2 linked regions of the Macaca mulatta genome follow. The protein of the gene in region 1 purifies or fractionates together with the protein of each later gene. This does not show direct contact. Links are inferred from orthologs where the notes say so. Each region holds a gene or a part of one and is shown on either strand. Other genes may lie near its edges.

Evidence for each region.
Region 2: the proteins of SLC22A5 (region 1) and YIPF3 purify together in Homo sapiens (co-immunoprecipitation; 3 studies listed by BioGRID and IntAct, counting the BioPlex papers as one, with this or other methods). This does not show direct contact. The link is inferred for Macaca mulatta from reciprocal best matches to the Homo sapiens genes SLC22A5 and YIPF3.

The regions. Positions count from the first base shown.
Region 1 is NC_133411.1:141,294,057-141,297,872, forward strand, and holds part of SLC22A5 (organic cation/carnitine transporter 2), read left to right. Parts: intron 1-1,098; coding exon 1,099-1,253; intron 1,254-2,283; coding exon 2,284-2,455; intron 2,456-3,816. UniProt on the Homo sapiens protein: Sodium-ion dependent, high affinity carnitine transporter. Involved in the active cellular uptake of carnitine. Transports one sodium ion with one molecule of carnitine.
Region 2 is NC_133409.1:138,606,355-138,609,667, forward strand, and holds the end of YIPF3 (protein YIPF3), read left to right. Parts: intron 1-977; coding exon 978-1,023; intron 1,024-1,159; coding exon 1,160-1,252; intron 1,253-1,410; coding exon 1,411-1,542; intron 1,543-1,736; coding exon 1,737-1,850; intron 1,851-2,045; coding exon 2,046-2,169; intron 2,170-2,293; coding exon 2,294-2,442; 3' UTR 2,443-2,785; downstream 2,786-3,313. UniProt on the Homo sapiens protein: Involved in the maintenance of the Golgi structure. May play a role in hematopoiesis.

The sequences.
Region 1 (3,816 bases):
AAATATGCAGCTTAATGAATTTTTTCAGAGAAATAACCTTATGACCACTTCCAAGTCAAGCAGTAGAACTTTGCTGTCCACTAAGAAGCCCTGTCCATGTGCCCCATCCCAATTACAGCATCTTCTCTCTCTCATTAAGTAACCGCTAGCCTGACTCCTGTAATAATCACTTCCTTGTGAGTTTTTTTTAGTTTTATTATCGAAATATGCATCTTGACACAAGTTTAGTGTTGCCCACTTAACATATTTGATGTCTTTTAGTCTACTTAATCCATGGATTCTCCTTCTATCCCCTTCTATGCCTTACTGATTATCTATGAAGAAACTGAGCTGTTCCACCTATAGAATTTCGCAGTCTGGATTTTGTTGATGGTACACTCAGGATGCAGTTCAGCACATTCCTCTATGCTCTGCATTTCCTCAAAATTGCCAGTTGGATCCAGAGACTTGAGATTCAGGTTCTGATTCAGGTTCAGTCCTTTTGGCAAGACCATAGGAAGCATGCAATGCCCGACTGTCTCTTCATGACGTTAACAGTCATTAGTATATAATGCATATATCTATTAATCTGTTGGGGGCTATACATGGTATTAGTCTAATTTTATTACCTTTTCATTTAAAAGTTAGAATACTTTTATACATGATGCTACCTCTTATCTATTATTGGTTGCTGTTCACATAGTTTACAAAGTAAAATCAGGACAAATGCTTCTTTCTCCTTATTTGCCAGTTTTCATTTATAATAAATTGTTTCTCTGTCATTCTCCAAAGTTGGCAGATTCTTTTTTTAAAAATAATATCATTATGAATGTATGGATTAAATAATTGATGTGTTTCAGTCTCTTGCAATCATTATCATAATTGTAGTATTGCTTTTTAGGCAACCCTGGTGCCCAGGCTATACATTTGTCCTGGGGAGTGGGGAGGGAGAGAAACAGCATGAGCACCATGAGACCGAGACTGTCCCTGGCAGCCGGTATCCTGGCAACACTGTTCACACCTGCTCTCTGGGTGGATCTTGGGAAAGCCCCACTTGGTGGAGCCCATTCCTGCTGCCCTTTTCCAGCTGGTTCTCTGTCACTCTCCTTTTCTTCCCAGGTTTGGCCGGAAGAATGTGCTGTTCGTGACCATGGGCATGCAGACAGGCTTCAGCTTCCTGCAGATCTTCTCAAAAAACTTTGAGATGTTTGTCATGCTGTTTGTCCTTGTAGGCATGGGCCAGATCTCCAACTATGTGGCAGCATTTGTCCTGGGTATGGCCATCAGGTTGGAGTTGAGTACTTGATCCTGTATTTCACCATCATCCCATCACCCCCACCTTTCTGGAGACAGCTGTGATGTCCCACAAGGGGGACAGGGTTTTTAACAAAACCAGCCAGAGCTTCCTGGTGAACCGTACTTACAGGCAGGGAAACTGAGCCAGACATGTGACCAGCCTGGGGTCCCCAGTAGCACAATGGCCTGACTTCTGATTTCCAGTTCTTTTCTGGCCTCTGGGCTATGGCTCCATGGTCTTAGTACTTGATGGCCAATTTACTAGGACTCACCAGAGATCCTCCATTTACAAAAAGGGCCTGCCACTGCACAGGGCTGAGCCAGCCCAGGAAAGAGGGCGGCATGGTTGGTGGAGGAGGGGCCGTGACTGGCAAGCTCACCAAGGTAGAGAAGCCCTTGTCTGCAGAGCACTATGGCTGGTGATATCTATGGACAAGAATAAATTGATAGGAATGGGCTTTCGTCACCTTCAGGGTTTTAATTCAGAGTGCACACTGCAGGGCTTTGTCTCAAATGTGCCAGCCTGTTGTCACTGAGAAGCTGCAGGCCAGCCTGTGTTTGGAGGAACCTGACTCTAGCTGATAAGGCCTTTGAGTTCCTTGGGTTGTATTGTTGAAAGGATTGTTTTTTCTTTTCATATTTAATATTCTCTTTCCTTGAGGCTTAAGCCAACATGTGCTGGCTTAGTAATGACTTCACTTTTAATAAATTCTTCCTCATGTGAGGATTAAAGGGGGCCTACCATGGCATCTTTAGCATGTGGCTTCAGAACATGGTGAAATTTTCAAGAGAGAACTGTTGCTAGGGGGCCTGAGAGGCCACAGGGATGCAGCCCCAGGAGATGGTCAGATAGGAGGGGTTCAGAACGCTATCCGCTCCCTAGCACCAGGAACTTAGAGACAGTTCTGGCTGTTTTCTTATCTGCGTATTCACACAGATACTATAAAAAAATTAATAAAGAAGTAATCCAAATTAAACTGCTAACTCGACCTCCCTTGTTTTGAACAGGAACAGAAATTCTTGGCAAGTCAGTTCGTATAATATTCTCTACGTTAGGAGTATGCATATTTTATGCATTTGGCTACATGGTGCTCCCACTGTTTGCTTACTTCATCCGAGACTGGCGAATACTGCTGGTGGCACTGACGATGCCAGGGGTGCTGTGCGTGGCACTCTGGTGGTGAGTGTGACCCTGTGCCCCGTGTGCCCACTGGCAGGATGATTTCTGTCTGGCCTTCACTAGAGGGCAGCAACAACCCATGAATCCCTATTTTGTCTCCTAGAGACAGGAAGCATAGATGATTTATAAATTATTTCAGAATGTTTTCTCCACACTCAAAGAGCCAAAGCAAAACAGAATCCCATGATGGCAACAGACTTGCTCTCAGCCCTGTACTGGGTTGCCCCAAGTGCAGGGAGAAGTAGCAGTAGCTATGAGAAGATGGGGTCCAGCATGACCTGGAGGAAGTTTCCAAGCCTCAGGGCAGGACAGTGTAGGCCCTAGTTCTGGCTGTGTGCTGCTGAAGCCTCATGCCACAGGCACTGGCACCAAAAGCAAGAGTCCTCAGGGTAGCCACGTGGAGGAAGCCAGGCTCCTTCTGCACCACCAAGGTAGAGGAGTTGAACAGGCAGAGAAGAGGCCATTCCCGACCAAGAGGGGAACACAGCAGAGGAGCTAAGGTGGGAATCACCCCTTGCAGGTGGAGAAGGTGAGATCACCAGCCCACGTGGAGCAGAGAGCATTTCAGGGCATAGTGGGAGAGTAAGCCACACATCACGGGGCCCAGTCATGACCAAGGGTGGGGGGCGGCTACCTGGTCCCAGCAAGATGGAAAATAATATCCATAGAGCACCTTGATAAGCATGCTAATTTTTTTTTCTTTTTTCTTTTCTTTTCTTTCTTTTTTTTTGAGACAAAGTCTCTGTCTGTCGCCCAGGCTGGAGTGCAGTGGCGTGATTTCCACTTACTGCAACCTCTGCCTCCCCAGTTCAAGCGATTCTCATGTCTCAGCCTCCCGAGTAGCTGGGACTACAGGTGCCTGCCACCACACCTGGATCATTTTTTTGTATTTTTTTGTAGAGACAGGTTTCACCATGTTGGCCAGGCTGGTCTCAAACTCCTAGCCTCAAATGATCCACCTGCCTCTAAAGTGCTTGGATTATAGGAGTGAACCACTGCACCTGGCCAAACATGCTATTTTAGGTAGAGTATCTGACAAGTGTGTTGGATAAATCAGGGGTAGGGTGAGGAGAGAAGAGAAGCTAAGAGGCTAGGGCAGAAGCTTCTGTTGGTGTCAGGGACAGGGAGGAAAGTGTAGCAGGGCCTGGGCTGGCCTAGACATGCACAGAAGCCCAGCTTCCGGAGCCCATCTTGCACCCATCTCCTCAGCCCAGCAGGTGGCACCAGTGCTCTTCAGAAATGGAGGTGGCCAGCCAGCATTGGGTTGCTGTCAGAGGGTGCAAGGCTCTCACATTTTTGTGCAGTGTGGTGTACACAAAAGCTCATCCACCCCAGGTTATTGCTGTGTGTGGATCAGCTCT
Region 2 (3,313 bases), on another chromosome or scaffold:
TACTCTCTGCTGAGGTCTGCCTGTCTTGTCTTGTCTTTTTATTTTGTTTTGTTTTTTTGAGATGGAGTCGCACTCTGTCACCAGGCTGGAATGCAGTGGCGCGATCTCCGTTCACTGCAACCTCCACCTGCCAGGTTCAAGCAGTTCTCCTGCCTCAGCCTCCTGAGTAGCTGGGACTACAGGCACCCGCCACCATGCCCAGCTAATTTTATGTATCTTTCATAGAGACGAGGTTTCACCATATTGGCCAAGCTGGCCCCTAACTGCCGACCTTGTAATCTGCCCGCCTCAGCCTCCCAAAGTGCTGGGATTACAGGTGTGAGCCACCGCGCTCAGCCTGCCTGTCTTGTCTTTTTTTTTTTTTTTTTGAGACGGAGTCTCGCTTTGTGGTCCAGGCTGGAGTGCAGTGGCCGGATCTCAGCTCACTGCAAGCTCCGCCTCCCGGGTTTACGCCATTCTCCTGCCTCAGCCTCCCGAGTAGCTGGGACTACAGGCACCCGCCACCTCGCCCGGCTAGTTTTTTGTATTTTTTAGTAGAGACGGGGTTTCACCGTGTTAGCCAGGATGGTCTCGATCTCCTGACCTCGTGATCCGCCCGTCTCGGCCTCCCAAAGTGCTGGGATTACAGGCTTGAGCCACCGCGCCCGGCCTGCCTGTCTTTTCAAGGGGAGGGGGCAGATGGATACATGGTTAGGCTCTCCATCAAGGCCCAGCAGGGCTGAGTTCTCCATATAGCTGCTGTTTCAGTCAGCTAAGTTTCAGAGGGTTGTCCTTCCTGGAAGTTAATTTTAGAGGCAAGGAAATGATTTCCTTATTCCCTATCTGTCTTTACTACCCTGTTCTACCCTGTCATCCGACATGTCCTCTAGGCCAGGCCCCATTCCCTGGAGTTAGAGATGAATAAAATTCAGGCCGTGCCCTCCAGAACCTCATGGCCTCGGGCTGCCTCTGCTTTAATCTCTCCTCTCCTTTCCCAGGCTCCTGGAGTCCATGATCCCTATCAAGATGGTCAACTTCCCCCAGGTGAATAGGGGGTGGCACGTCTGGAGAGTGGGGGGAAGCACCAGGGCAGAGGGTGGGACCACCAGGCAAATCCTGGGAAGCCATAAACAGACGAGCTGTTGTACCCTCCAGCCTGAATGACTTGGTATATTGACAGAAAATTGCAGGTGAACTCTATGGACCTCTCATGCTGGTCTTCACACTGGTTGCCATCCTACTCCACGGGATGAAGACGTCTGACACTATTATCGTAAGCAGGACAGACAACTTTGGGGGGGTGGCTGCACTAGGTTGAAAGCTGCCTGAGGATGCGGTGGTGGAGTGAGACAGGAACCGCCCCTGCGGAAGGCCCTAGGTGAGGCTGAGATCAGAGGCCTCCTAGGACTAAGTAGAGCCTTCACCCCACAGCGGGAGGGCACCCTGATGGGCACAGCCATTGGCACCTGCTTCGGCTACTGGCTGGGAGTCTCATCCTTCATTTACTTCCTCGCCTACCTGTGCAACGCCCAGATCACCATGCTGCAGATGTTGGCACTGCTGGTAAGGAGCCAGGCGTGGTGGGCAAGAGTGATGTTAAAAAGAGTAGCCAGGCCTTGGTCTGCATCTGTCCTGGGGCCCCGAAGCCTGGAATGGGAGGAGTAGGCCAATGGACCGTGTGTTTCCCACGGTCCCCATGAGAGGCCAGAAACCAGCCCAACCTGAGTGATTCCCCTCTCCACCATCCTCCTTCCCAGGGCTATGGCCTCTTTGGGCACTGCATTGTCCTGTTCATCACCTATAATATCCATCTTCACGCCCTCTTCTACCTCTTCTGGCTTTTGGTGGGTGGACTGTCCACACTGCGCATGGTAAGCTGGGCAAGAGGCTTCCAGGGGTGGGCTGTCCTCCCAGGGAGTTGGGGAAGACAGCCTGGAGCTGTCCATCTCACAAAGAGCCCTAAATGGGAGGGAAGGGCCCAAAGATGGTTCTGCCCTGGGTGGGAGTGTCTTCCCCACTCCTCACTTTGGAGCCAGGCCCTTTGAGCTGTATTCTCATGGCCCTAGGTAGCAGTGTTGGTGTCTCGGACCGTGGGCCCCACACAGCGGCTGCTCCTCTGTGGCACCCTGGCCGCCCTACACATGCTCTTCCTGCTCTATCTGCATTTTGCCTACCACAAAGTGGTAGAGGGTAAGTGGCAGGAAGGCCTGGGTGGGGGAGAATGGGACAGCAGCTGCCTAGGGCAAGAAGCTGGATATCATGGTCAGTGGGCTGGGCCCATCTGACCCTTGCTCACCTTCCATCTTCCTTCCAGGGATCCTGGACACACTGGAGGGCCCCAACATCCCGCCCATTCAGAGGGTCCCCAGAGACATCCCTGCCGTGCTCGCTGCTGCTCGGCTTCCCACCACCATCCTCAACGCCACAGCCAAAGCTGTTGCGGTGACCCTGCAGTCACACTGACTCCACCTGAAATTCTTGGCCAGTCCTCTTTCCCACAGCTGGAGAGAGGAGGAAGACTATTAAAGGACAGTCCTGATGACATATTTCTTAGATGGGGTCTGCAGCTGCCACTGAGCTGCAGCTGCGTTAAGTACCTCCTTGATGCCTGTTGGCACTTCTGAAGGGCACAAGGCCAAGAACTCCTGGCCAGGACTGCAAGGCTCTGCAGCCAGTGCAGAAAATGGGCCAGCTCCTCTGAGACCCCTCACCACCTACCCCTTCCTTCCTCTTTATCTCTCCCACACTGTCTTGCTAAATATAGACTTGGTAATTAAAATGTTGATTGAAGTCTGGAACTGCAGCGGCTGATCCAGTGGTCCTCCCTGTCATCCCACTTACTATATACTTTCATGCTCAATCAGCAGTGGTAATGTCGTATGTTCCCTTTTTCATATCCTCACCCAGACAGGATAAAGGTGGGACAGGCCAGACTACATAGAAGGCAGTGCTTGAATATGGAACCTACCCCTGAGGGCAGGGGACACCTGACCCATGAAGCGGCAGGGAGGCCTCAAGCACAAAAGCCATAAGCCTGATGGAACACTGCAGCCAGCTTGAGTCTGGGCTCAGCTGCACTCTTGGGAAGCCAAGGAAGCAGTGACAATTGGACAAAACATCCCGACTTAAACCCCGTGTCAAAACAAGGATCTTCTGCTCCTGGGCATTGTGGGGATAATTTTCCTGTGGAGCTCATAATTGAAGCCAAACTTGGCTTTGCCCTGGTGGTACTGGGGCCAGCTCCTTTCAGTTTTTCTGTCTTTCCTCATAAAACCAACCACCACTCCTAACATAGCACCATCCACCCCCCGCACCACCACCTCTTTAGTCTGCT